Linked DNA regions of Kluyveromyces lactis. The protein of the gene in region 2 interacts with the protein of the main gene of each other region in a pairwise test. Links are inferred from orthologs where the notes say so. Each region holds a gene or a part of one and is shown on either strand. Other genes may lie near its edges.

Region 1 (10,337 bases), on a different chromosome or scaffold from region 2:
TCTGTAGGCGAAGAAAACGCTTTAATATATATACAAACACACCGAATTGAATTCGTTTGTTTCTTTTCTTGTAGATACAACGAGATGTTTGGGGAAATAACTAAGTACCTTAATGAAGAGAAAAATATTCAGTTAAATAAACAACGTTTGGTGTTGTACGCATATTCCTAAGGCGACAGTTATTGCCAAATATTAGGCTGAAGTTCGATGAACTAGGATCAAGGCTACAGCGTTTGATGATTGGAAGCCCAATCTAAAAAGTATATAAGTAGAAGGTTTCTTCATCCTATCTTCCCCTCTGGATTTGACGACATACTAATTATTGTTCTACATTAAGTTATATGTCAGATGTAAGAAACCAAGGAGAACACCGTAAGTAATTTACTTAATTAGTCGAAGTTTGTATGCCGAGCACCAATTTAACTATCCAATTATTTCAAGATTTATTATATTTATCAATAAATAAATTTAAAATATGTTCTAATACATATTTATTAATAATATGTTTTTGACTTTAACAACTACAAATCAGAATGGCATCCAGTTACATCAATACTACTAACGCTCTATGCCAAGCCCCTACTACCAAACATGATGAATATCCAGTCCAACAAAACTGATTATTGCTTTATGGTAATATGAAGGTTAAACAGTAGAACCAAGGAGAACATCGTAAATGATGTCCTTGATAAATTAAAGTTCGTATACTAATCATCAAAGCCAACATCCAAAATACCTCATTGTTGGCCACGAAGTCAGAGTGACATTTATTGGCATGTATTGATATGTTAGATTTATTGAAGCTGACAGTCATTTAGCTATTAATAAAAATTAAAAATAGAAATGATAGAAGGGATTTAGTGGTATCTCAACATATAAGATCTACAGATTGAATGATAGCTATTCAAGATAATATTTTAACTTGAACTCCAAAAAATAGTAGTAATTTATCAGTTATTTACCTAAATATAAAAATATAGAGTATTTATTATCAATATACAATTTACATAGGTACAAGTGTATATTTTATTTTACAGTTAAATTTATGAAAAGTATAATTTATAATAACTCATAGTCAATATGTATGTCTTTATAGATTGGGGAAATTCTAAGTTAATTAGAATAAACTATTAATAAACAGTAAATATTAATCGTATTATATATACATTTCATAAGAAGAGATACCTTATGTTGGTAAATGGAGTTGAGCTGTAAACTTAATGACTATGTTCTTCCTAGATTCAATTGATATTCCTTTAAGCCCTGCGGTCTTTTCCCGAAGCCTACTAACCATCTAAGCGAAGTCCTTATTACCGACTCTCAATGGCATCCAGTCCAATAGTACAAAGAAGTGTTAGAGGTGACAATTACAATAGTTTAACTTAGTTAGTTATAATTCTTTCTCGTTAAAATTTTAAGATAATGGGAGTCAAAATTCTAAAGGTATGTAGGCATTTTCTCGGTTTTGCACATTCAAAGGTTTTCTTCGGATATGATATACAATTTTTCACAATTTCAGCGCTGTATTAATTATACGTTTTGGAGTGACTTATACCAGTGAGACTCCCAAGAATATTGACATAAGAGAATTTTTTCTTCTGAGCAGTTCGAACTTACAAGACCTTTCTTACATGTTTTTATAAATGTACCATACTTATTTGGAGTCGCATATATTTCAGTACGGTGAGCAGGAATATATTCTTTCAGAAAAAATGTTCTATTGACAGCCATGAAACTTTGTGCAAGGTTATAAACTGCCGTTATGTTTCACCATTATAATAGTCTGAAATTCCTAATAAAGACAATTTATAAATTTTATTTTAACAATACTATTTAAATAGTTTATTCTTCGTTATCGGCCGATTGTTATTATCATATTTTCATTCAGAATTATTATAATAATTCAGAATTAATAATTTCCAGTAAGCACTATTCTTTTTGAAAGAATGATTAATTGTTCCATTTGGGCTGACTGCATTAAAACCAACTTTATTTGCGGTATCTATAAAAACATGCTTACTTAAAGTCCAAATTATAAAATGAATTTCATTGTACTCTTTGCGGAGCTCAATGAGCTCACAGTGCCGGATTTATAGTAAATTTAACCAGAAGTCAGCCAGTATTTTTTTTTCTCTTTTCCCGATCCAAGGTCATTATATACCAGTAGGACACTTTAGCTGATAGAATTTTGCAATTAATTATATATGGCTTTCTCCTGCTTTTGAGAAGAAAATCTTCCACATTGTTTAAGTTCGCACTACTGGAGTGTGTGTAACGAATGGGAATTCAGACGGCTCACACCAGTAGAAGGAAGCTCAAATTCACAATTAGTAAAACTAGATAACTCTTTAAGATCCTCTAAGCTTGTAGATGACCCACCACAACCGATCAAGATGACATAATCATCATCTTTAATGTCTGAACCGAGAATATTTTGTAGTTTATCGATATTATACCCGAAGTATAACGTTGCCCCACACCCAGGTTCCGCAACTATGTTGGTATCGTTAGAAAATTGAAGGCAAGTTGAAATCACTTCAGTATCAGAGATGACAGCTGACTTGCTTCCGTGACGTTTCACATTTTGGTAAGCCGTTGTTGATATGGTTGCTGTCCCTAGTGAAGTAGCACAACTGGATATTTTTTCAAACTCCACTGGTGCTCCTACACGCAAAGAGGCGCTCAATACGTCTGTTCCCTTCGTTTCGACACATACTATCGGAATTTTGTCAGCTAAATTATACCGTTGCAAACCCAAAATCAACCCGTTATATAGACCTCCGCCTCCAAAACTGCAAACAATACCTTTAATTTTGGTTATAGGTATTTTTGAACTAGCCAAGACATCCATGATTTCATCCACCATAAAGGAATGGCCTTCCCAAATTAGCGGATTATCGAAAGGATGGCTGTAAATTGGCTCGTATTTAAAGGAATCAAGTTTCTTCATAAGGTGCTCCTTCATGAAAGAATCTGCCTCTTTCCAATGGTTACCATGAACAACAACATCTGCGCCGTAGGAGCGAATCTTTTCTATAATTCTTGGACGTGTTGCATTCGACACAACTACTGTACAGGGAACGTTCAATTCGAGGGACGCAACCGCCGCCGCCAATCCAGCGTTACCGCCAGAGCTAGCAAACACGTGACCGATTTTTTCAGGCGAGGATTTCTTTATTTCTTCTACCTTTGTAGAGATTAAATGTCCGATACCTCTACTTTTGAAACTACCACTCGGCTGTAAAAATTCATACTTCAAAAGCACTTGAGGGCCTTTACTTCTTTTGAATTGATGTTTCAATAACGGTGTTTTGCTGAACAATTGGGCTTTCATTATTAATCTATTAATACTCGTTTGACTATATGAAGTTGGAAAGATATGGACATACATTTAGCTTTCAAGATGAAGAGGTCGAACTGAAGATTGGATTCAGAGATCATCTCAGCACACCCCCCTAAATATATAAGTCCCTGCTATGAAAGATAACCGAGCATTAGATGGTTGCCTTATCTATACGAAGCATTGAGATGCCTGTCATTTCCTTATAATACAGGTACAAAAAAACTGACAAATGCAAATACAAATCCACTACGGAAATATATATCCGGATATTTGGACTATCTTATTTAAGTTTTTCTCTGTTGGTAGAGATGTCTTCTGTGGTCCCCAAAAAATGAGATCTTGAGAGCCCAAAACCCCAGACCTCCAAAATAGGCAAACCACGAAACATTTTTCCAAATTTGTCGGCAGCTCATCTCATTGTTCTCGAGACAAAAAAAATATGAAATCAGAAAACAATACACCATGCCAGATTAGATTTGATGTTCAAGATGGTTAGAAGGTAAGAAGAAATGAGGAACTAGTAACAAGACAAAGAGCGAAATAATGGACATATTCTACTGACTTGAAGATCTCTCCGTTTTTGTTTCAATTTAAATTTCAGACTGGTATAAGCATGTTCTCATTCTCTTAACAGCTCTGAGTAAATAATCATTAGAAGTGTATTTTTTATTATTTTTTTCTTGTCTCTTTTGGACTGTTTTTTTTCCTTTTGACTAAATAGCCATACCCATACACAGTTTATCTGTCTGTTCAGCATAGATACAGCACAACACACCATCTTGTAAGTAAGAGATCTAGTGAGAGGGGGGGTGAAACTGAATTAAGAGTTAGAAGAGTGTTGTTACTCGAAAGGAATGGAAGATATGAGGTACGTAGCCGAGAGGCTAGTTATCCGGTGTAATGAAGCCGTTATGCAACTTGAGCTGTCCATCCAGCGAAAGATGTGTGAGTTTGATCCAAACAATTCTCACTGTTTTATACAGGTACAGGAGTACTATTCATTCCTGGCAAGACTAAGCTCTTTGAAGTTACGTGCTGAGCATGTTCAAGAAAGTCTACGTCACCAAAGGAAAGATCCAAATGATGTCTGTATCGAATATGAGACTTTGGAGAAACTGATCTACGAATTTCAAGATATAACAATGAGTTTAAACGAAGTGGCCAGGGCATATCAAAGTCCTACAAAATCAGCTCGTTCAGGGTCCAGTAAAGAATCATCTGTTATCCCTTTGAAAACCCTGAAGATCATTGAAAGGAACAGGGATTCTTTAATAGGCACTTCTCCAATGAAAAAAAGCCTATCCCAGCTGAAAAAGGAAGAACACAATCAGTCACTACCAGCAAAGAGAAATGTGAGGTTTCAAGAAGATGATTTAGATATTTTGCACCATTTGCATTCTGTAAAAAGAGCCAATTCTTTACCTGGATCACCAATGCCGGATACACTACTGGAATCGCAGATGTTCTCCCGAGAACATAAAACTCTTCGAATGGCGAAATCATATGATGTGGGCTTGAATGGTAGAGCAAAGAAGAATGCGGACTGGGAATTCTTCAAAAACAAAAACCGTTTATCACTGTCAGTTTTTGATGATGTAAATACAGATGCTAGTGATGAAGAAACCGTAATATCGGTATCCCCACCAAATATATCATATTATCTATCCCAAAATGAAGATCAATATCCATCTAAACAGGTAAGGCGCTGTAATTCTCATGAAAGCATTCTTTCTAGGAAAATTCTATCACCTTCAACTCCAGCTAACCTAATAATGAGACCAACGTACCAATCTGTTTGGCAGAAAAAGGCCATCGTCACAAAACCAACAATAAGCTGTAGTACTTCGAATTCAACCGCTTCGCCAACTATCGGGTCACCGCATCTATCAAAAGATATGTTGAGCCAGTTCGTAACAGCTCCACCATCTAAGAAGTATAGAGGATGGTTCAGTTCGTCCAACTCAACCCCATTTGCATCCTCTATTTTTCAAAAGTGGTTTAATTCGGACTCTCTAGTAACGAAAGAAATTGGAAATCCTGATAATTCGTCTCCATCGAGTGGACGACCCATTGTGGAAAATCGACAACGGCATTCAAGCTCTAACAGTTACTCTACATCGATAGTAATAGGACCGAATGGCGCAAAGTTCATCCGTGGGCTAAATGACCCATTAGTAACTTGTACTGTTTCATATAATGAACTTCAAGAGGCATTGAACACTGAATTTAACTTCTGATATAATGATTATACAAATGTAATTTTAAGAGATTTTATAATGAAATTGACATATTAGTTGGATGGGTCAGGTGAAACTATCGGAATTGGAGTCAAACAAGCTAGATGTTGGTTTGCGTACCAACGGTGTGGATTTTCGGCCTTGGGGTGCCTTCAATTTTCTCTTTTTACCCAAGAAAGTGATGGCAGATCGAGAACCAGAGGCTACTCTATAAGATTTAGATATAGTAACAGTTTTGATCCCCGTTTTGAACTTGTCATTAACATCTGAGTTTGACGAAAAAGACTTTACGATGCTGGGCAATTTGAAGTCCAGAGATGTACCATCCACATCATCAAAGAAGGCGGAGTTTCTATTCCTTTGAGGGGAATCGAGAGATTTAATATTGCTTCGCTGTTTCAAAGATTCCAAATCCTCAGTTGCATCATGTGCTGCTTCAGTGACCTCAAATTCATTGATATCATCATCTTTTGCACTTAAAAACGATAATGAACTCTGAACAAACTCTTCTGATATGACAATTTTCTTCTTTCCCATCTCATCTCGAGTATTGCTGAATGATGTGACAGCAGGGATTGACTTTCTAGTTATATCTTCCACCATACTATCGAAAAAGGCTTTTGATTTTGAGTTATTGACTACACCGTCCACATTTTCTAGTAGCTTTTGTTTCATTATTTCTCTTCTTTTTTCCCTAAACTGTCGTAGTAACTCATCCTCATCATCGCTTAACTCAAGATCTAGTGCTCCTCGGCCACGTTTACGAAAGCCTCCGGTATTGATATCATGTAAGATTTTATTTATCATCCTTTCGTCCATTTCTTTGTTCTCTAAGGCTAACCTTTCTCTTATTGAAGCGGTATCAAACTTGCTTTTGGAAAAATCATCTATCATGGTATCCAAATCTGAGTCATAGTCATCTGAATTCTCTCCGTCAGCACCACCAACACCATGCCATTCATCCTCAGATTCTTCTGCTTCCATTTCCAATATTTTGTTGAGACCAGTTGATTTAAGTACTTGCTTCCGCTTTTTTGCTGCCTCTATTTCCATTCTTCGGCGCATTTTAGCCCTTTCTTGAAGCCTATTCCTTTCTACTTCGTCGAGCTCGTCCTCTGAGGAATCAGAGTCTACTGAGGAATCGGAACTTAACTCTCCCACCAATAATTTCGCTGAATGTGATCTGTTCATCTTCAGTTCTGAATTTGAAGGCACATTTCTGTCACTTTGATCAGCACCATCATTTTCCGTTACATTTGAGGAAGTTAAATTATCGCCATAATGCCCTAAATTGATGCCAATCGGCTCCTGGGTGACTTCATTATCATCACTTGACGAAGAACTCTCGTCATCATCTATTATAGGATTGTTGTTTTTATGGGCTGCCGATGTATCCGCGCTATCTTCGTCTGAACCAGTGGACCCGTGTAGCCCTAAATGCTGCTCGACATCACTATCTGATAAGCTTAAATCACTCTCCATCACATCGCTATCAGGGACATCGGATGCGCTACCAGAAGATGCAGCTTTACTCGTATCTTTTGATTTCTCTCTTTCTCTTTTTTCTCTTAGTTTAACTCTCCTATTCCTTTCAAGCTCTTGCTCTAGAAGCTTTTCAACTTGAATCTTTTCATCTTCAATCGCTTCAAGTGATATTCCTTTTTTACCGGATATTTCTCTTCTAAATTCAAGTATCTGGTCTCTGTTCTTTGTTTTCAAAGATGTAAACAATTCCTTCAAAGAGTCAACTGTAGAAACATGCATGTTCTTTGCTTTAGTAGCCTTATTCCTGGATCTCTTAGCTTTAATCAGCAATAATGCTGCCTTGGACGATTGTGATTTATAGTCATCTTCAGATTCGGACGAAGAGTTCAGTTCAATAACATTTTGTGGACTATTTTTCATAGTAATGGCAATAATCCCATTCATATTAGTAACAACACTCTTCTGTTTCGTGACTAACTCTTGAGTAGATGCCATATCTTTCAATTCATCAGCATCATTTTCCTCATCTGAAAGATCTTCTGCGTTGGATGACTCCGAATCATCAAAAGCTGCAATGAACTGTTCAGGGAGGTATTTCTTTCGGACAGCCTTTAATGGTGCTACAGGTAAATGTGGTTCTTCTATAGTATCTTTTATAAGAGGCACGGCTTTCTCCTTTTCAGCAACATCAAGTTGAGTAGCGACCACTTTTTGCTCATTCTCTATTTGAGTTCCATTTGGTTTAGTTGCCAGTAGTCCTTCATTGTTGTTTGTTGTCAACTTAAATGTAAACGAAGTATTTCGAAAGGAAGTTTCTTTACTGTGCAGCAATTTACTTTCGGTTGCAGCTTTATCAAGAGTGTGTTCATCTGGTGTAGTCTGTGTAATTTCCTCATTGTTCAATTGTGTGTCTAAATCTTGCTGTTGTCTATCAATGGTTCTGTTGGTGCCCTCCAGTGCCTGAGTATTTACTTGAGTCTTTGCCAGCCAAGATGAAGAGAATGTAGGAATTAATTGTGTCTGAGATATTGGATGTTTTTTCTGTTGGATTTCCACTTCACGCTGCTTTGGTACTGCAGCAGTTTCACGCATTGCCTCAAACTCATCGTCCAACTCTTTACCTTCATACAAATCGGTATCACTGTAGAAGAATGTGCTTTTTTTACTGTTATCAATTGCCGAAGCAGTGCTATCATCTGAATCTCCATTTAGTCTCTTTTTGACTCTTTCAAGCAGATTCTCTGCTAGAAACTTGTGCTCTCCCACGTTCAGCTCTTCATCTTCTGCATCGTTCGCTTTAGAATATGTTTTGCCTTTCTTTTTATGAATGCCAACGTTCAAATCATCTAGTAGGTCCATTCTGCACTTGATAATGTGCCGAAGTGTTTGCAAGGTGTTGAATTCCTTTAATAAAACGGTTATAATAATGCCTTACCTGGTAACATTATCGTGCTTATAAGATTGGGCTGCGAGCCTTAAATATTTACGCGTTTTCTCATTTTTCTTTTCAAAAAACCTTCTTGATCGTACGTACTATATTTTTGTCACACCGCAGGTTTTGACATAAGGAAAAGCAAGAACGTTGCTGGCATGAATGATAGTTAGTGAAAAGCGTATACGTGGTCCATAAATATAATCGTAAAGTGTCTACTGGGACGATTTTTGAACAAAGCAACTGGTTGAAACTTAACTTAAAACTATATTTCTTAATTTGAGTCATGAGAAAAGGATGGAAACGCGATTATATAATAAAATACTTACTAGCGCTTTAATCGGTACGCTGTCTTTTCCTGTCTCCTAAAGAGCTCTTTGTAGATTTTGAAATTGAGCTTTTGTAGTCGGTTTCTTTTGGTGCAATAAAATCCTTGGCTCTCTCGCTTTCCTTTTCAGCGTGTTTAGCGGCTTGTTGTTCCCTGCGCTCATGTAACTTTTTGACTTCCTTCTCCCTCTTGCTCAAGAAATACTCACCGGACTCAATCTCCAAATCAACCTTTCTAGGTAATTGTGCAGGTGGGAATGGTGTGTATATTTTCTTCTCCTTGATCTTCTTTGGTTTCTTTCTTGCAACATTTCTCTTCTTGAACATAGGTAAAAATCTAGACCAGTCTTCCTCGGCTAACTCAGGCTTCTTAGCAAGTTCTCTCTTTATCATGAGTTCTTTGATATGGTAAATAGGATGTACGTTTTTCATACAATCTTCGACGACACGGCGTACTTCCTTTAATCCTTTATATGGTCCCATTACTGAGACAGTATTACCTTGGACAAGAATATAACATTTTGTTAGAAGCTCCAAGGCTTTCAAAGTGTTACCATTAGGACCCACTAGTCTCTGCCTTCTTTTCACGAACCTTTCTTTATTAGAAACAAAGTTACCAATCTTTATAACATCACAGGCAACATCGTCTTCTAGGATTTTCACTGCTTGTGGGAATGGCACAGATCTGGCCAAAAGTTTAATCAAATCACGAGCCTTCAAGATTACTGCTGGATCATACGTTTTTCTTGTAGTCTTTACAGTCATAGAACCTTCAACTAAATTCAATTCGCATGCAATATGATGTGCATCGAGAGACCTCGTAACGTCTTTCCAAACTGATTTCAAGTACGCTTCTCTGTACTTTGGAAATAGAGTCATAAAACTGGATTCTTCAGCAAAAGGAAGGCCAGACTTGTTGTCCTCGGGTTTAAACTCCTCGATATTCCATTTGTCAACCTCGTCCGTATCCCAAGGCTTGTCTTTATTATGAGTAGAGACCATCTTTCAACTCACGACTAAATCAATATCTACCTCTTTTTCCGATACTTGTGAGTTCGCAAAATTGTCTGTTGGCCTTTAGTACGCTTCAAGCTAAACTAGGGTTTTATAAGCGGATACTGAAGACAATGTGGTGCAGTGAGGCCATGTCATCTCATCTCATCTCATCTCATCGCATCACTTATAATTCATTCGAAACTATTTTTTCCATTTTTATTTTTTTTCCTTTGCCAATTTCATTATCACTGCAATCTCGTGCAGTAGTAAACAAGAAACACAGACGGAGCATCATAATTTCTTTTTAACGAAGACGATGGTTCAAATCGTTGCTCAGTTTCTGAAATCGAAGATTGAGGAGAGTTTACATTTATGCACTTGCATGCAGCTGCTGAGGTGCTATAGTATCCATTCATCCTAATCATTTCTGTACTAGTTGGATAGGATTTTTTTGCAGGATCTTCGAACTTTAACGGATCATAATTCGCAATGGCCAAGAAACAGGATAATGCTAGGT
Region 2 (10,202 bases):
ACAGACTTTAGAGCTGAAGTACAGTAAATCTTGAAATATCGCTGTATTATCTCTTTAATGCCATCAAAGAAGCAACGAATGTCAATATCAATCTCGAACGGACTTCGTTGATGTCTTCTGGAACCAACCAGATTAGAGCTCCTAACTTTCTAGCAATAGAAATAGCCAATCTGGCGTTTGCATATCTGTCCTCTTCAGTTTTACCAGGTAACACTAATGAGTAGTCCACATAACCTGGGGCCAAACCATTTAGGACATCCAATAAGAAGTGAGCGTTGGACAACGAAGGATCGCTGAAAGATCTTATGGTGGATGATTTTCCACCCTTGGAAACTGTTTCTTGAGCCCACTTTAAGATTTGGGAATCAGACATATCTCTACCAGTCGTGGCCAATTCATTCATTGTATTGACAATATTCTTACGCATTAACTGCCACACCAAACCTAGCGTTAGTAGTTTATTACCGTCGACAATATCAGAGCCATCAATACCAACCAAAGAGAATCCTCTAGATTTACCTAAATCAACAGCATAGTTAGTATTTTCCAAAGCCTTGAAGCGTGAAAGTTCAGAGTCAGATGATTTCTTGTTGATTACCTTCCAGTTTACAGATCCAGGAATAACCTTATCATATGCCTGTAGAAGTACTAATCCATCCTTTAAGTCTTCGAATAGTGACACAACTGGAGGATCTACTTCCAAAGAATTTAACCACAAAGTGAAAACTCTGGCTTCTCTCTCACCTTCTGCATCGAAATCCTCAATTTCGATAGGTTCGTTTTCATCCAATGGATCCAAACCAGGATGAGTGTTGAATAGATGAGCAACGAAGGCTAAGTTTAATTTAGGATTACCAGCCACTAATGCCGTTGGAGTCAAATACTTTCTGCATTCCAATTTTTCAGCGTTTTGTAAAACTTCTTCTGCTCTTTCTAGCAAATCGGTGGTTTGTAGTGGTCCCAATGAGCATAGATTTGAATCCAATTGATTTAATAATACAGTATAATTTTCACCATCCTTGATATCAGAAGAGAAATTGGAGACCCTTCTGTGCCACCCAGCTTGTTTCAAATGGTAGTTGAACCAACGCAACAAGATTTGTTCTGGGGGTAGTCTTAGGAATTGCTCCAAAGTTTCATCTTCTTCTAATAAACGGTACAATTCCGGGTGTAATTTGATATCAATCTTGGATAGCAAACCTCTCCTAATAATTTGCCAAATTAAACCTAAGATCAAATGTTCTTTACCTTCAATAATATCTTCAGAGTGAACATTAACCACAACACAGCCGATAGCTTTAGCGGAATTGATCACAATGTTGGCGTTTTCGGAAGCCGTGAAAGTGTTCAAAGCCTTGTTATTCTTAGGCCAGTTTAACACTCTGGTATCGATGGTGTCCGGGACAGAATCGTTAATCAACTTGGACAACACCAACCCATCTCTACATTCGTCGAATAATTGGAAAGTATCGGTAGGGAAAGGAAGCCTATGACCAATGTCTGCGTCCCCAGCTAGCACGGAATTGATATGTGTAGTGAAAGCCCTTCTTTCTTCTTCATTAATCGTGTGGGTGGTACCAGAAGTGGAACCACCGACAATAATCTGAGCTTTCTCACCAGTACCTTTGTGTTGCAAACCAATCGATTTAGGTTTAGTTGGAACCGGTGGTGCACGGTTGCTCTGACCGGAAATGTTAGGAAAGCTCGTTTGTGGGAACCCCTTTGAATTGTCTTCGTCCTGTTGCGTACCTTGAGATGAACCGTTTGCTCTTAATTTTGCCATCAATTCCACGTAATCCTCCAATTCAACATGACCCGAAGCATCTACATCAACGGTCTTCAAAGTCTCCCTAGCTTCATCATAAGATGCAACACCAGACTTGGAAATGGATTCCAAAATTTGAGGTTTTTCAACCCAGCCCTTATCCTCTAGATCGATGTTTCGAAAATGCTCTATCGTTTCGAAGAGATCTTCCTGAGAAAACTCAGGGAACTTTCTTTGTAATCTAATAATATTCATTATTGATCAGTTTATATTGCTGTGATTCCAATCAATTGCACTAATACTGCAAGTTGTAAACCGTATAGGCAGAAGGAAAGACGAGGGCTTCCTTTCTTGTTTCGGGCGTGGAATACGGCTTTCAAGGTTTATGTTTTATATTCCACCATGTTAAACTTTATTCTTTAAAGGGCTTTTCGATTGGAAATGGAAAAGGAGAGAGTATGTGATGTTCGTATGTTATGATAATTGAAGGGAATTAAAGCCAGTACAAGCCTCCTGGTTCAGCAGTCTGATCATACGGTGCTTTACACGGGTTTCATCGTCCGTCTATCCATTTGCGTATGCTATTTATGCTTGTCGCAGTCTATTTGCATTAGATATATTGGGATATTCCGCACTGTGGAATAATCTTGTGAGCTGTGAGGGATGAAATAGTCACAGGAGTTAATACTACTAGCCAGCTATTCAGTGTTTTCCTCGTACTTCCACGCCTCATTTTGGACAAATGCTGTTTGGAACTGCCGGAGCTGTTTGTATAGATCTTGAGATGAGTTCGAGTAATCGAATTTCGGACTTGTTTCTGGCATGTCATCATCCATTAAATCTAGCTGTTCTCTCCATAGCGTTTGGTAATACGGTACATTGAGCCTGGATTCAGGTATTGCTCTATCTTTATCAAAAAGTCTTCTCATGGCAACCTCTTGTTGTTGCAATTGATCCACTTTTGTCTTGTTTAGTATATTATCATGGAGTATGAAAGGTGACGGATCGTATTTGAAACTGAGAGTGTTTTCAGATATCCCTGGTGCCCTTTGTTTCCCATTCATATCCCTGTTTCTATTGCGTTCATTCTTGTAATTCAACGGAGTGTAGAGCGAAGAGTCGCTGAATACATTTGCCGATGTGCCCATCCCAACGTTGAAATCCTCATCTGTTGAGTGTTTGACATGTTTGATCCTGCGGAACTGCGGGCTTTTCCAGGGTGGCAGACGCGGAAGATCTATGTTGTGCTCCATGTATTAACTTAAGAGCCTGAACAGCTACAGTTGAGGGGTTGAAGGCTGGTTCTTGGCAACATTTTGCCTATAATTATGACAAATTATTGTGGGTATTTTAGAATGCTTACCTTTGACTGACATTTGTGGCATTGGTTTAATGATCACGTGATATCAATGGTAAACCTAACAGATTTCAAACAGCTTGGACATCCCATAGTAGTGTCAATTTCGAGGTATCTGATTAGATTGTTACATAATATATATATATATATTAGATTTAAAGCCGAAAGCTCACCTCATGATATGCCTAAATTAATATGTTTGTGTCTTCGTGCTAAATCAATCCGCTTAATGTCAAACGTTCAAGGAATGGTTGTAGATCGTCTTTCCTGATTTCAATAATTGATGTCTCGAAATTGTCAATCCTTACTTTGGCACCTGTCTCAGCTGCTATTTGTTGAAATGCCACTGTGAAATTATTTAAAGTTTTCTGCTGTTGTTGTTGTAAAATGTCCAACCCTCTTGGGTACCTTGGCGCAATCCCTGCACAAAGATATGTGTCAGAAGTCTCATCTAAAGTTGCCAATACCAGTGGAAGTAACTGTTTTTCGTCATTTTCTGCATAGTATTCAATGAGCCATGATCCCAGCCTCAATAACGTTAATGGATTTCTATATAAATGCAAATCTGGTCCATCTTGTAAAACACATAGCCTGTAAATCCTTAAATGTTTCACTAATCTTTTCTCCAGAATAGCGACTCCAGTTTCAAATACACTTCTTTGTAAAAATGTTGCATGCTTAATCCCCTGAGATAAAATATCCATATTATTGTCCAATACATCCCAACTTGACCAAAAATTTGCAATCCATTTTTTTTGCCTTGTCTTCAGTATTCTGTTAATTTTTTGCTCTTCAGCTTCTTCGTACTCCCTATTCTCTTCATCACCTTGGTTCGTATCATCTTTTTGAGATACATTAGCTGTTGTCAAATTTTCTAGTGCGTTTGAAGCATTGCCAACTTCAAGTAAAGCGGTTATCGATTCGACAAATTCACTGGCACTTATTGATCCTCGGTAACCGAAAGTTCTCAAGAACCCATCTCGTACAATATCTTGTAACCCGTATCTATCGAGATTTTTATCGAAAAGTACGCCCAGATCTCTCTTGAAATTATTGTCCATATATATCCAGTTTTCCTGTGTAACACTCAGCGGAATACCCATGCGTGCAAACATTTTATGCAGTCTTTTCTTGCCATTTTCATTCCACAGTGACAGTTTGGCGTTGACGTAGTTAGAATAATAAAAACTATCATATAAGGATGTATGCCTCAGAAGGAATAAACTGTAATCGGGACGAATCTCAAGATTCAAAGAATCTGGCGTTTTAGTTTTTTCACTAGGTGTCAATCTTTTTACTTCATCTTTCAGAAGTGGTAATAGTCGATTGTATACCAACGGGAAGGAATTATCCAAAGAGGACACTCCTAGAATGCATAACCATAAATAATCTAGATTTGTCTCACCAATACCAGACAAAAGAGAATATATCTGAACTGAAAGGGAGTTCAGCACCGTTGATCCCTGTGAATAGTACTCCTGTAACACTTTTTCTAAGTTGTGAAACTCTCGCTTTCGTTGTTTATGTGATTTTTTTGGATTCAATTCATCGCTGGACCTTTTACCCAATACTACGTCATCGTCATCGTCATCGTCATCGTCATCGTCGTCTTTATCCTCATTTTGCGTTTCCCTGTCATCTTCCTCTTCCTCGCTATCACTGTCATCGTCCAATTCATCGCCAAGTTCGTTCTCTATCTCTATAAGTTTGTAGTATGCTTTCTTTTGCTCTGTCAAAGACTCTTCGACTGTTCCATCATCGAAACAGGTTATGCACTGTGAACCAAATAAATTATCCAAATTCCACGGTCTATGACAATCAAGCACAAATATCTCCTTCTTAAATTTCTGAACAACGTCAGTCTTATCTAATTGAATCTCATCTAATGGACCCTGCGTGTTTTCTTGTGGATCAATCTCTAAAAAAGATTCAAGATCTACCATCCCTCCACAACCTACAAATATAACGCTATTGATATTTTCGTCCAGTCTCTGATAGTGATCCTTCAATTCCGAATAACCAAACACGGGAACTAACTGTGATTGTACCAATTGCTTCTTGAATAGACTGGATAGCATCTTCGATGCACATAACGCGTCAATGTTTAAACACGAAACAAAAATCACCAACTGACATGAAGAATGAGAACTGCATCGGTGAAGAATTTTATCATAAGCACCCACAAATTCAGCAATGCCAATATACATCCTCTACCTGGCACTTTGATGGCCTGCAGTGGTTTTGTTTGCAGTCTCTTTTCCCTCGTGAGCTAGTCATCTCATGTATTTACATAAATTTCTTTAAAATATTGGTTTGGAATACTTACACGTTTAAAGATTTTTGGAAAATCGATTACTTGTCATAAATGGCATACATGCGAAATATTCGAAATATTCGAAGAGATGCCAAGATTTACAAGACTATAGGTACTAAACACTGCTATCTGATATTTCATATTGCAGTATTACGAAATACGAAGATCTTAACTTACTATGAAACTACTGGGAACAATAATTGGTTCAGCATTCTTTTTACAAGCTGTGTCTGGATTCTTTTTCGATTCAGGTCACCAGAATAGACAGCAACAGCAGCAACAGCAGCAACAGCGGGATGTTGGCTCTTACCAGCAAATGTTCCTAGATAATGACTGTCCGCATTATTTATGTCCACAGACATTGGATTGTGTGAGACAGAAGTCGGATTGTGCGTGTCCGTTCCCTAATTCACAATTGAAATGCAATCTACCCAACGGTCAGGTAATTTGCATCTCAAAGCCAGCAACACATGATCCAACACTGGTAGAGATTTATGATGATCCAGTAATGGGACCAGCTCAACGTACTGAGGGATTCAGAGATTGTGGATGGATCTTGGATGTATATGACGGCAAGATTTAGAATGAGAGATCTTTCTTTCTGTATCGGCCATAATACTATTACAAACATAAACTGATAATATATATAGAGACATATAATACAGACCATTACTGTATTTAATGCAATTAACTAGCATGGGTTTATTTTTACTCGTTTGAGTTCTTCGCGGAAAAGATCGTTACCGGTTCGGAACAGTTAATCTCTGTTCTTACCTGCAACCCATCTTTTGTATAACAATTCATGGATTTTAAAGTTTCTGAAAAGCTCATCGTACTTTGATTGCTTCCAAAGTTCCATTAAGTCATCTTCAGGTATGAGTTGTTCAACGTAGCATAATACAAACTGTTTCTTGGCTCCGCCCACGACTCTGGCAGCGCTTGAATACCAAGTGTAATCATTTGACTGGTTTGCATCCAAAACCATGATTCCATACTCCGCATGTTGGAAAGGGGGTCCTCTTCTGTATAATAAGTATTCGCAACCAAATTTTATCCCCGATCGTACACACCACCCTTTGGACCTGTAATGATGGTACGCGACATATTGATGAATTAATTTCTTGATGTCTTGGAAACTTTTCGGTTCCAGTACCAACGAAACCATTAATTGTTGCAATGTGATCTTCAATACCGGCACTGCATAAGAGAGGAAAATAGCCTCGACGGGCATCAATTGCAAGCTTTCTAGTTGAATCACTGATTTGCCTTCTATTAATCTTAAATCTTCGTCACGTATTTGCATCGAGTCCTTTTCAAAAGCTAATTCTTTATCTCTTTGATTCTTTAAGAATAACCTTTCTTGTTCAATGAATTGTTCGTCTACAATCCCCTTTTGTCTCATTTCTAACTTCTTGGCTTCAAATTCAGCTCTCAGTTTCTTGAATTCGAGCCGCTGCCTTCTTCTAACGTCTGTAACATGCTCTAAGTTGATTCGATCAGCATCATTTAGTTGCAATCGAGACATTGTTCTTGCCTGCCAGTTGGGTTCACTCCGAGATAGTTGACCAGTACCAAAGAATCCGTGTTCCCATAAATACTTCATCTGCCATTGATCACATACCAAAATTTGACCTAATTGGTTGATCTTGACGTCAATAATTCTGGTTTCACTCCATCTCATCGCCCAATCTAATATCCAGGAAAATGCCTGAAAGGGATGTTTCCATACAGACGGTACAGGCTGCGCCTCTATAGGCAACGCATGTTTGTATTGCAGCTGATTTCTATGAGATCGCTTCGACATTGTAAGTACTTGCCTCCCGCGGTCTTCATATATAGTTACTAAACATGCAAGAGAGATTAGCATTGGACAAAATATGGTTTTATAACTGATCTCTAATTCAAAAGAATTAAGTTTCAATAACTAAAAACTCGAATAAGCAGTACAGAGTTAAGGAGTGATATTAGGTTTACATATTTTACTAAGAGGGGTACGAATTAGAGTAGAGAAAGGACAAATCAGATACCGTTGTAGTCTATTGAGAAATCGTGTGCTCACATTGAAATAAATTCTTCGAGACATCTAAAATGGTTTATCATCATATATAAAGAAAAAGCCCTTCAAAAAAGAAAAATATCCACAGAGGTAACATATCTTACCGCTCACTCCATCTGGAATCTATGAACAGTAAGTATGCTGGCTGTATGAATCAACTACAGTTGGTTTATTTTTTGGTTGATCAGAATACTTATATATGTGGCATCAAACATATCTTTTCTCTTCCAAGCTCATCGCTTTTGGCCTTTTATACTGAAAAATGAAAATTTTCACGTTTGTGAAATGTCAGTATCACATACAACGGACAATTTCTATACATTTCGGGCTCTAAGGAGGCAGAGATTCTATGTGTTGAGCCGGGTCTGGGTTAGGGCTTTAAATAGTTTAGTACCATGAAATATTGGTATATTTTTATTTATTGTTGATATTGTTATTACGGTATCTAGTTAAAGATCTATTGTACAGTTTTATACTTTTTTTTAGGTTTTTGACGTGATGTTGTCCATCTACATGGATGCCATCTCTGAGAAATACTGTCTTAAGATAATGGATAACATTTCTGGGAGTTCGGTAATGTCATGAACGACAACGTAGAATTCGAATGGGAATGTGTCTAGGTATTTCTGGACTGATAGTTTCATGTTGCCGAATTGATCTGGAATATAGTTCACTTGAGACATATCCATGATTGATTCGTTAGAGTTAATACCATCGATGACAACGAAAACGAGCATGATTTTATTTTCCCTTGCTCTGCGAACCAATCTTACTAATGTTTCGTGGTCTTCACAAACACCATCGGAGATGATAATTTCCAATTGCCATAGGTCGTTACTCTCCATAGCTCTTGCTCTTTCAAAGATCTTGATACTTTCAGCTACCAATTTCTTGACATCGGTTCTTGTTTCTTGGAAATCAAACCATTGGAAAGTCTGAGCACCAGTTTGGGTATTGAAAGGTTGGTTGAATGGGTGAACTTCTCTTACAGTTTCACCGAATTTCACGATAGATAAACCACCGGATTCAAGTTGAGTTAAAGCCTTAGAGACTAAACAGATACTTTGGAAAGCCAAATTGACAGATTTTGATTCGCTCATAGATTTGGAATCGTCTACTGCAATCATGATTTGATATTGACGCTTACTTGGTTTTGTTCTTCTTAACCAAATCTTGTCCTTACGGTACTGTGAAGCAATATATGGAATAATTCTCTTCATATTCAACCTTTTACCAGTTTTGTAATCACCCTTCAACTTTGTGGCAAGAGTAGGCTCAAGAATCAAACGTAGCTGTTCACTTAAACCGGCTGCCAACTCGTTCGTTTCTTGTTCACTTCTCTTCCATAGTTCACGGGCTTCGTCGAATGGTCTTGGGGCCACAGCAACAGAATTTTCTTCTGATACTTCGTTGTCTACTTCATTTAAGATTTGGTCGATATCGTTTTCGTCAGAAACAATGTCGTTTTGATCCCATAAAGCGCCAGAGTTCTCAAGAGCATTTCTTTCACCAATGAAAGCTCCCTTGCTTTTCCCGTTATTCTCTTCATTATCAATATCACCGTTTTGTACTTCCGGTTCATCGATGTCCATCACATCAGTTGGGTGTTTCTGATCTTCATCATTCTCATTTTCAGGTTCAGCTTTTTCTTCGTTTGAATCTTCATCAATGGCTAGGTCCTCATCGAACCCAGTTAATTGATCTTTATCAGCAGATCCCAACGCTTGCGTATCAGTCTCGGTATTGGCACCGTCGACATGTTCAAATTCGTCAGGTTTCTGGTTGGAGCCTTCAGGCTGTTGCTCTTCAGAATTGGTGGAAGCCTCTTTGATTTCTTGATGGCGTCTGTGGAATTCTTTCAATGAATCACCTAATTGCTTTAAGCTTTCTTGCGCGTCTTTACGAGATGTATCTGTGATTTCTTCCTGATTGTTTTCCTGGCTTTGCGATTGCGCGTTACCAGAACTACCAATATCTTGTTGTTCTTCAGAATCAGCTGCATTAGAGCCTTCACCCTTTGCACCCGAATCTTGTTCGACAGCAGCATCTGTATTTATTTGATCTTTGTCATCTTCTACACCCTCTAATCCGTCGAGGCCCTCTACATCTTCACCCTTTTCATCTTCACCTCCTTCTTGTTTTGGTTCATCTTGCGGGTTTTCAAGTTCACTGTCTGAATCTGCTATTGCTTCTTCTTTGATATCTGGTTTCTCTGTATCATCCTCTTTATCAAGAGCCTCTTCGGTTTCACTATTATCATCTCCATCCATATCAACGTCTTCATCTGATTCGCGGTTTTCATCAGCGTCAGATTCTTCATCAATGTTCGTTTGTTCATTTTCTGTATTTTCTGGCTGCTTACCTTCTTCTTCCTCCTCATCTACCTCCATTTTATCCTCGAAATCTTCTTCTTCTTCTTCAGAGCCATCTTCTTCATTATCTTTGTCAGAATCCAAATTCATGTCCTCTGGTAGGTCCATTGTTTCTACTTCCGGGACGTTATTTTCGAGATTCTCGTTTTCATCATTTCTAACTTCATCTTCTTGTTCTCCAACATCTTCTTCCTCTTCTTCTTGCTCTTCACCGTCATCATCGTTATCTTTTTCTTCAGTTTCCATTTCATCAGTTTCTTGGTTTTGTTGGTGGTCTTCCGGCTTGACATCATCTTCTGCTTGTTCCTCTGATGCTTGTACATCATCGGCATTAGATT
Region 3 (10,565 bases), on a different chromosome or scaffold from region 2:
AAAGAAAGTGGCTACATTGAACCAAGAAATTGAAGACTTAACCGCTTCTTTATTCGATGAGGCTAATAACATGGTAGCAGATGCAAGGAAAGAACAAAATGCTGTAGAAATATTAAACTCGAAGCTCAAAGAGCAGTTGAAAGAAAAGGATTTATTACTTGATACATTGTCAATGCAGTTAAAGAATCTCAAAAACGTACTCTACAAGTTCGAAAATGATTTCAATTCTTCGAAGAACGTTTCACTTTCAGATTCTGCGACGTCCTCTACCACATCAATTGATAGATCAACCACCAACCTAACCTCAGTAAATGATAATTCATTGTCGTTTCAAGGCGTGTTATTTTCCCCTCTTCTGCATTCGTTAAGGTATGACGTTCCTCTATACACAGAATATTTGAAATTTCTTGCTGTGCTACCACAATGCGAAAACCTTCAACAAACCACTTCGGAATCGAAACTATTAAGGAGATTAATAAACTATGAAATAAGTCCCGTCTTGCGACTTGATAATGCCTCCGGAGTAGGATGGCTTGTAAAAAGAAATTTAATGAATTTAATGATGGAAGGACTGGTATCAATCGAGCCGATTAGTGGAATAAATGAAACATATCGTACAGGATATAGTTCTCCAAGTATTCCCGACTCTCCAGAGGTCGAAAACAAAGATTCTCATTTGTTTAGCCGTCCGGTGAATTCTCCGCCTGTTGCTATGGTAGAACCATGTGCTTTCTGTGGTGAAAATAGAAACGACATCCTTGAACATGGAAGACTTTATATCTTCAAAACATATCAAAAGCTCGAAAATGGTAAAAATGAGTTAACAAATCAATTTCCCGTGTGCCATTACTGCTTGTTGAAATTAAGACAAGTTTGTGAAATTTTCGCATTTTTGAGATCATTGAGATCTGGTGCTTGGCATCTAGAAAAAGTAGCTTTGGCATCAATACATCAAGGCAAGGTCAATGCTTACTCCGAGGTAACTAAAGCATCAAGGCCGAAAATGAAATCCAAAAGATTAAGTATTTTCCAAGGATTAAAGCAATCGCAATCTTCAACTCCTATCATAGAAAATGGTCCACAATTTGCCGACAAAAACGGACTACCAACAACCAATATCCAGAGGTCATGGGCCCGTCTTTCACAACTACGAGCATCTTTACAATGGTCGCATATTGGCGTATGGTCTCTCGACGAATCGGTAGCTACAGATATTGCCCCATCAACAGATATTTCCAAAGCTAAAAGTTTTGAAGAAGAACAAGGTCTAGGCATTGCCTCAAACAATATCCCTGTCCCTATAACACATGAGGAGGATGAAACTTTCGATTTTGAAGCGGATACCGCAAACTCTATCAGTGTGGATGAAACAGTCAATGGTATACGTCACACAGATCAATCATCGGATGATATTGGCGATCATAATGAGAAAACTAATGAGAAGACTGCCACGGATTTACAAGGAAAGAATGAAGAGAAAAAAAGCAAAAAAATTGAACCACAGCATTCAAGACAGCCCTCACAATCATCCACAGTATTAAATGATAACAAAGAAAGTGCCGAATCAGCTCATGATACCCATGCATCATCTGAAGAGCCAAGTGATTTATTGGAAACTTATCAAGATCTGTCCGCTGATCTTGAACCCGAATCTGAAAAGCCTGAAAATTTGGATAATTCTGATGAAGAGGATAGTTTTAACGATGCAAAGGATGTCGTCAACTAGTGTCATGCACAATCTTTCCTCCTACCTTGCATACTTTGTAACAATAAATACCTGATGTAGAGAGTTTCATTTCAATGCACGTGATTTGTCAAATTTCGTCATCCTTATCATACCCAAAAGACTAAGCACCAAATTTATATATTGCAAGTATTTCTTCTTGCCTTAGATAAAACAATATGGCTGTAAGAAGGTTGTAGTAGCAAACGGAGCGCACGATAGTTGAACCGCTTATGGCCTACTTTGTGAATTATAATTAATACAGATGCAGATAGCCGCTGATAAAAAGTATGCAAAACTAGCTCTGTCTGATAAACAATCGAAGAATGAACCAAATCCGTTTGAACTGGAGTTAACGTCATTTGATGACACCGCGAAGACAGCTGACAGCGCAGTTGACCAAAACATTTTTAATGTTAATGAAGAAGACCCATTAACAGATGACATCTATTTATCTAATGAGGCAAAATCTAACAGGTACATGGCTTTCATGAACATGGCGAATAGTATTTTAGGATCAGGAGTGATAGGGCAACCTTTTGCGATGAAAAATTGCGGAATCATCGGCGGATTATTTGCGACCATATTAATGTCCATACTGGTTGATTGGACCATTCGTCTGATTGTGATCAATTTGAAATTAACCGGTAAGAGTACTTATCAAGCATCTGTAGAAACAGCAATGGGTCAATGGGGAGGACTTTTGATTTTAGTATCCAACGGCCTATTTGCATTTGGTGGTTGCGTTGGGTTTTGCATTATCATTGGAGATTCAATACCTCATGTTTTGAGCGCCTTTTTCCCTTCTCATACAGATCTTTTTCATCGGAATGTCATTATCACATTGGTGACTTTGTTCATATCGTTTCCGCTATCTCTTAACAGGGATATCTCCAAGCTTTCAAAGACATCAATGCTTGCACTTTTAGGACTTATTGCAATTGTTATTATCATAGTTGTTAAAGCTCCACTAGTAAGCGGCGAATATAAAGGAACTTTCCATTTACATCAGTTGTTTATTACACCAAGGATATTTCAAGGCATTTCTGTGATTTCATTTGCGTTAGTATGCCATCACAACACGAGTTTTATATTTTTCTCGTTGAGAAATCCCTCTTTAAAAAGATTTAATCAGTTGACACATGTCAGTTTAATTCTTTCTTGCATCGTTTGCTTAACAACTGCTTACTCTGGGTTCCTTAACTTTAAAGACAAAACAGTGGGTAATATTCTTAATAATTTCCCTTCTGATGATAATGTGATTAATTTTGCCAGACTTCTTTTGGGATTTAACATGCTTACTACGTTTCCTTTGGAAATCTTCGTTTTGAGAGATGTGATAAGGGACATAATATATTACAACAAAGACGACCCTGAACCAGTAAAGTTAACGACAAAAATGCATGCCCTCATAACGTCTGGTTTAGTTTTGATTATAATGTGTATCGCTTTATCAACTTCTAATCTTGGTGCACTTCTAGAAATCATTGGAGCAACAAGCGCTTCTCTCATGGCATATATACTTCCTCCACTCACTAATTTGGTTATAACAGGAAAAAAAAAATCCTTGAAAGAAAAGTTACCTTATTGCGGTTGTATTGTATTTGGTGTTATACTCATGTTCGTGAGCACCGCTCAAACTATATTAGAAGCGTTTGCGTAAAATCTATAGCACTATGTATGTAGCAGCTGTGTTAGCTAATATTCTGTATCTGATTCTATGCGTGGCTTTTTACGCTTTCGTTGTTCCGAAGTTACTTCTTCCTCAAGTGGATGTGATGAGTATTCTTCAGAGCTCACAACTTGGGTCTCTATGGGCTCGTTTGCCAAAGATGGAAGCGAGGCACTTCCAATGATGATAGTTTCGGCATCTACGTCGGAGAAGATTGGTGATTTCGGTGTTTCATTAAAAAGAGCAGAGTAATCATTTCTCAATTGTCCATTATTTTTAACCCTTTCTTCACAAAACTGAGCAAAAAGGGAGAACTGCGTTTCAGTCAGCGATCCATTATGTTTGTCCAGGAGCTGTCTCAGATATGTTTCATTTTCGAAGAATATTGCGCCGAAGTCGGGATCCTCATCGTCAGAGTCCATTATATACTCCTTACTAACGACTGGAAGCTTGGTGGAGCTGCTTGCATTTGCTTCAAAATCTGATTCATTTTCTTCCGGATGATGAGCAATTGCCTTTCTTTTCCCTTTGGATCTCTGAACAAGTTTGGATTGCGCTTTTCCTTTTGAAAGCTCGCGTCCCTCTGTTCGCTTATCCATGATTTCTAAATCTTCGAAGTAACTTCCATTGTTTAAATCTGATCCGTATTCTTCAGGGTCTTCATACTCTTGATAATGTGACGATAAATAATAACTAGCTGGTTTTCCAATTTCAGATTCAAATGGAAGAGACCTGTGCTTTTGTATAGTTTCAATTACCAACTGGACCTCAGTAGGAGTTTTATTATTAATGAAATAGCAAGCAGGTTGATTAGCTTCCGGAATTGCAAAACCAGCAAGGATTAAAAGCCTTCTGAATTCGGGCTGTTGGTATAAGGCCCTCTTTATCTCAGAATTAGTAGCATTGAATGCAACTTTTTTTACTCTTTCCTCTTCTAGTGAATTGATGCCTTCTGCTACCTTACCCTTCAATCCATCGAAACTTGACTGTAAATTAAGCAACAAAGCTTCAATCAAATCTTCATATCCATCATCGATAAGACTAGAAACCAAGATTCCAACTTGCATATCTAACAAAACTTTTTTAGGAAGAGAGCCTTCATCTGGAATATTGATAAATGTGCTGGGCAATACTATGTCAGGAGTACCTTCAGTCAACTTCATCTTTCCATGTCTCATATAGTATGATATTTGGGAGTCATGGAGCATTGGGAACAATATATTGATGTACAAAGAAGGCATTTTCTTCAGTTTATTTTTGAGCTGCTTAAGGTAGTACTCATTGAATTTTGTGAAATGAGTTCTTAGCTCAGAAGTTGTAGGCAGACCTTGTTGACTTAGAATTTCTCGACATAATATCATGAAGTCAATTCGAAATAGAAATAATTCTTCCTTCGCTTTGACAAACACTCTCTGAAAGAATTTTAGAACCCTTATGAGGTCTTTGTCCTCCAGTTCTTTGTAAGACTGTAGATATCTGATGTAAGTTGATATCGTTGGTTCTGTCAGATATCCGCGAAAAACCTTATCAAAGTTTATGGTCACTTGTTTAAATTGTTCTTCTAATATATCAAAGGCTGATTCATAGTCTAAATCATTATCTTTTGCATACTTTTCAATTGCTGTGTGATTAAGGTTCACCTTACGCTTCCTTTTTGACTCCACAGTCAACGAGCTGTTCTCATCAAATTTATCAATTGTTTTCAAAACCACATGTGTTAAATTAATGCAAGCTTTAACATATTGTGAAGAATGACTGGTTGCAGATTTTGGGAGAGATGCCAATAGCTGCAACATATTTTCGCTCAAAATCTTACTTATCACAGCTTGAACATCTGCCTCCCATGATTGGTCGAGAGATAATAAAAACTCCAAGTATTCCGTGAACAATAGCATACCCGCATGGACCACTGGCCAATTCTTTTGTTCATAACTCTCTCTCAAATATTTTGTAAAGAGAATGTAACACTCATCTAACAATGCGCCTGAGACATAATCCGGTGTAGCATCAATTTCATAAATGCACCGTGATCTCTGGAATTTCACAAACCACGAAATGAATAACATGTATTCAATCTTATGCAATGGTAATTGATCTTGAATTTCACTCGTAAAACTATCTGTGGCATTTTGCAATAACAAATTGAAACTGGAATCAACAAAATCTGCCAAAAACTCTTTTATGCTAGTAATGTTGTCAGAAGACATGTAAATAGAATTACCTTCAGTACTAAAAAAGCTGCTACTGAGTCCTTCAATAACATCGAGTCTCATAGTGATGGTTTTATTCCATTTTTTTCTTGAGTCTAACTCTTGTAATGCCGCATCATCACGCATGTTGACAGAATTACTAGCAATTGTCAATCGCGTATTTTGAGGTGTCTGTATAGACAATAAACCGCCAAATCTAGAATGACGAGAAGAAGTATTCTTTATTACATTAAGCTTCTTTTCATGTTCCTTTGCAAGTAATTCTGAAAGGTGTTTACCTGACGTTGTCATGTTGGAGTCTGTAATCTCGTGATCCGTACCCAATTTATAAGATTTTCTCTGGTTTTTGAACAATCGGATGGGGTTAATATCTTTTGTTAAGAAGAACATGACCTCTAACAACGGCCAACTAACGAAATTTGGGTCAACAGCGTCTGACAAAGAACTAGCCACTGTTAGAAGAAAGCCAAAAACTTTATTTTTATCAAATGCGGTTATGACACTATTTATGGAAATATCATCAACGGTAATATTCGTTGGTAACATTTCAGCCATAGTCAAAGGTCTCTTCAATCTTTTGACACTGGATATTGTAACTTCACCTGGTTCTATTGCCACCACATTTTTTAGAAAATTAAGAACCATTCGTATCAGAGAGTCATCCCTAGCAGTCCTATGATCTACATCCACACTCATGACGTTCAGGGCTAATCTAATTGCTGCCTTGAGAACCTTTCCGTTTTCTGTTGTCAAAATTGCATGCTTATACAGCAATTGATGCTTTTTCAGCTCAAAGTAATAATTCACTTGGTTATACGATGACTGATCTGTTATGATTAAGGGCCATGTCATCAACACCATAAGTTGCAACGCTCCTAGAGCGATTCTATCATGATATGATTTATTCGGGAAGAAAATCGAGATATCTTCACCTGTTTTTTTACTTTTCCTAGTAGCAGCACTATTTTTTGCCTCCCAATCCAATAGAATAGGTATTAGATCATTCTGCAGGATCTTGAATTCAGCTGTGGCCATTTCTACATCCCATCTCTTCTGGTTATCATCAACTAACTTGAACCAACGAATCAAATCCTTAATACAAGCCAAGCAATCATCACCTACCTTATAAGGTGGATTAACGGAGTCCACAGAGTGATCTGGTCCTCCAATTGCCGTGGCTAACATACCAATTCTTGCCTTAATGATTGTGTATGAAATATCCTGGTATTCATTCTGAATATGTATGTTTTGCCTATCTTCTGCCAGTCTCTCCTTCACAGTATCAACGTCATCGGGTTCTGACATAGTTACCTTCTGTCAAAGCTACGAACCCAAAGAAGTTTTCTAATAGTTTTCTCAACTAATACTAGTTATGTTCGTTGTCAAATTGGTCAAATTGGAAAGAATTTGCCCTCTTGATTAAGGTAGCCCTTCGAATATTCATCCTTTTGTTCAAACGCGTAAAACTGTTGAAAGCTGTTTTATGATCAAAATCTCATTCGATTGGAATTGATTCCTATGAAAAGTAAGACAAAACCAGATCACGTGATTTTGAAAATTGTAATTCTTCGCCCCCCCTATCAATACACGGTACAAGCACTGTTTTATTGCCTCACTATCAGCAATTGATAAGTTTCAATTTTAAATATTAGTTCCGTAACATTTTAGTTAGATTACTGTTCTCCCAACGACGAAACAGAGACGAAAGTCCAAATATCATGCGGGAAAGTAACTCACTGTTCTTGCTTTCAAGCTGAGCTTTCATACCAAACTAAAGGAATAGTAGCAGTCACCATATAATTTCAAGTAGATTGATACCAAACACAAGCCATATATTAAAATATTTGATCAAATTGTATTATACCTGCTCCTATGGCTACTTTGTTCTCCTTTGTGTCAATCTAGAAATAATCTTGCATATTTTTTTTTCGATCTTCATGACCGTATTAGGAACGGTCGTAAATAAAGCGTACAAAAAGCAAAAAATAAGGGTTCTGATTGCACTCGGCTTATGTGACGACATTCTCCGTTAATGAAGAGCAGACATAAGTGGAAAAGCTTTTGAAATTCCTCAAAAAAGACAAAAACACTGCAATAGTGTGTTAAAGATGGTTGGTCCGGTTTGCGATGTCTCATTTGTCAATGAAGATCAATAAGCATTAATCTGTGGTTTTTCCATTTTTTTAACTCATCGATCTGAAATTTGATTTTGAGGTTTTAACTTTCAAATGTAGAGAACATGAATGAGGGAGGTGAATATGTCTACTGAGTGCTGGGGGATTATACATACCGGGTATGTGATCTTGTGTCGTGGTATAGGATCATTGCGGGGAGATACATTGTTCCAATTTCTGAGGCAAAAAATATATTTGAAATATGCTCTCAATTATTAACTACGGAAGTAGAATAGAACCTATGCCATGCCTTTGCTGCCTTTGATAAACGTAAGATTTATGTTGCACTGCGCACAAGTTATTTAAAATGATTTACGGCAGCAAGTAGACAAGAGTATGACAAAGAACAGTCGATTAAGAATGTGAAGAAAGAAAAAAAATGGAACGTTCAAAACAGGACCAATGCTAGATGGTTTTGTTACAAGGAAAATTTCAGGATTATAATGCTATCTGAGGAAGAATTGTGTGATTGGTGTTTGCTTTGTTCCTTCAGACCACTATGATGACTGCGATATGGTTATACTATGTGTGGTAAAACATTACTATGTATTACCAAATATGGTAAACTGAAAAATTTTTAAAGTTTGCGGTATCGATTGACAACGGGTTTCCTACAAGTCAACCACAGCATCGATTGAGCTTTATCATAGAAGGTGTGAAAGCATCTATGGATAAACAGGATCGAAGTGTGTGGAACACATTCCATTCATAACCGAAGTTTTCCGCTCGACTACGAGGGGACAATAGGATCAGATGCTTAGCAACATTGAAGTTTTTTTGATAATGTGATTGTGGGGTTTTCCTGAAGGGAGAGGCGACCTACACTTGAACGGGACAATCACAGGTAGTTAGTTATTGTCTAGCTTAAAACAACACAGCTACCCGGACCTAGTAATAGTGATCACTACCATATATTTCCAAGACACACCATTAGTGCTAGATGTGGTGTCGTTTTTTATCGGCCAAACAACCAGCAGTAAAGTTAACAGTTGTTCTCCTTGTTTTCTACTAAGGTTAATAATTAAATTGATAATACCCGACAATAAGGGCTCTTTTTATTTCATCCTGAATATTTAATATAACCTTCTACACTAATATTTCATTATCTTGATCAAGCATCTTATTCAAATAGATATCTACAAGAGTTTACACCGAAACTCAAACTGAAATCAAAGCAAACACCCTGCAATTGACTATTAAATTGGGGTGCGGGAAGTGGCTTTAGGTGTGCATAGCTTTTAGCGCACAGCAGTATATTTTGTTTTAAATTTCTGGACCAAAATTACTCTCACTGTTCTCTTTTCCGCCTTTGTTCACTAGCCACCCTATTATCGTTTTACGCTCGATATTTCGACATAACATTTTCTTGCACGGGCTTTTCTCCATATCTTCAGACCGGGTTCTTCGAGGTTTAAAAGTGAAAGAAAAAAGTAATAGAGTTGTCGCAGGTCTTTCACGAGCAACTCACTTCAAAATTGAGCTAAACTCAAGAGAACCGCTGCTCTTACTTTTACAGGGTTCCCAAATCAAGGAGCAGGTACTGCTTCCATATATTGTTATACATTATTCATACCAATTTGAAGGAAAACTCTAAGCTGGTCAAACACCATCACGTTCAGGAAATAATATTTCAAACGCATCAGTCATAAAAAGAGAAGATATTCATTGATATATTCTGAGATTAGTTGACTTTTCTGAATTAATATACTTAGCATTCTTTTTGGCTTTGAGCATACGTTGATATTCGAAATATCTTATTCGCTCTTTTGAACATAATATCTGACCTTGTAATTATCGGCAAAAGTGCATTGGTAGAAATCACGGGCCGAAAGATATCAAATGTATTTAAACGACACAGGCATCCGTCGTTGTGGACCTCCAAGGCCTAGACCAAGATCTACACATCCATTGCTGGCTCAATTGGAATCTAGCGCTTGTGCTACCGCAATAAAGGACTATGAGAAGGAATTACTAGCGTATTTCCAAGAACTCCAAGAGTGCGATTTACCTAACCCAAAAATGATAGATAATCAACCTGAACTAGACTGGTACATGAGGCCTTACTTGTTAGACTTCCTTATTGATCTTCATGGCATTCTCAGATTATCTGAACCCGTTTTATTCTTGGCAATACAAATTATGGACAGATATTGTTCTAAAAGAATTGTCTTTCAGAAACATTACCAGCTTGTTACAACCACTTCCTTATGGATAGCGGCAAAATTTGAGGACAAAAAATCCAGGACGCCAACTTTAAACCAACTGATTTCAGCATGTTCTCACATTTATGATTCATACATGTTCATTCAAATGGAATCTCATATCCTGGAAACTTTACGCTGGAACATACGGACATGCTTTACAACTTTCGACGCCATTCAATTGTGCTTCAAGGATACCGATATAATATGGCCTACAGAAGACGTTTCTATGTTACAGATAGTTTCAATCTTTTTTGCAGAGTTATCATGTTATGACAAACACTACATGGCTTTCTCATCATCAGTTAAAGCTACTTCTGGTATCATTTTAGCTTCTGTCCTTCTAGGAGATAATTGTTTTCAAAAGCACATATCCACCTTGTTGCTGGACTTTCTAGACTTGAAATGTGAGAGTCTGGGTTTGACCGTGTGTCATCATAGTGTCGTTAGCTCTTGCAAGGAGAAAGACCCTTTTTCTATAATATGTGCACCACTATTAAGAGTGGACGAGAACACACATGTTGATATAAGAAGGTGCTGCTTACTATATCTGAATGATATTTTTAAACCCTTAACGGCAAATAA

Evidence for each region.
Region 1: the proteins of CDC45 (region 2) and MRC1 interact in binary tests that used the Saccharomyces cerevisiae proteins (3 or more experiments, as listed by UniProt). The link is inferred for Kluyveromyces lactis from reciprocal best matches to the Saccharomyces cerevisiae genes CDC45 and MRC1.
Region 3: the proteins of CDC45 (region 2) and TOF1 interact in binary tests that used the Saccharomyces cerevisiae proteins (3 or more experiments, as listed by UniProt). The link is inferred for Kluyveromyces lactis from reciprocal best matches to the Saccharomyces cerevisiae genes CDC45 and TOF1.

What each region holds. Positions count from the first base shown.
Region 1 is NC_006039.1:29,751-40,087, forward strand, and holds MRC1 (chromatin-modulating protein MRC1), read right to left. Parts: upstream 8,425-10,337; coding exon 5,647-8,424; downstream 1-5,646. Other genes in the region: L-serine/L-threonine ammonia-lyase CHA1, read right to left, coding at 2,258-3,391; VAC17 (Vac17p), read left to right, coding at 4,198-5,580; ribosome biosynthesis protein KRR1, read right to left, coding at 8,834-9,826; ADF1 (Adf1p), read left to right, coding at 10,310-10,337. UniProt on the Saccharomyces cerevisiae protein: Required for normal DNA replication. Phosphorylated in response to DNA replication stress. Phosphorylation allows it to mediate the activation of RAD53.
Region 2 is NC_006042.1:1,831,681-1,841,882, forward strand, and holds CDC45 (DNA replication initiation factor CDC45), read right to left. Parts: upstream 5,330-10,202; coding exon 3,335-5,329; downstream 1-3,334. Other genes in the region: SAC6 (fimbrin), read right to left, coding at 47-2,020; KLLA0_F19800g (uncharacterized protein), read right to left, coding at 2,464-3,018; LCL2 (Lcl2p), read left to right, coding at 5,615-6,019; tRNA splicing endonuclease subunit SEN2, read right to left, coding at 6,194-7,303; REA1 (AAA family ATPase midasin), read right to left, coding at 8,002-10,202. UniProt on the Saccharomyces cerevisiae protein: Required for initiation of chromosomal DNA replication. Acts at the origin of replication. Also has a role in minichromosome maintenance.
Region 3 is NC_006039.1:185,428-195,992, reverse strand, and holds TOF1 (Tof1p), read right to left. Parts: upstream 6,911-10,565; coding exon 3,422-6,910; downstream 1-3,421. Other genes in the region: guanine nucleotide exchange factor SEC2, read left to right, coding at 1-1,726; AVT2 (Avt2p), read left to right, coding at 1,989-3,386; KLLA0_C02233g (uncharacterized protein), read left to right, coding at 9,619-10,565. UniProt on the Saccharomyces cerevisiae protein: Forms a fork protection complex (FPC) with CSM3 and which is required for chromosome segregation during meiosis and DNA damage repair. FPC coordinates leading and lagging strand synthesis and moves with the replication fork.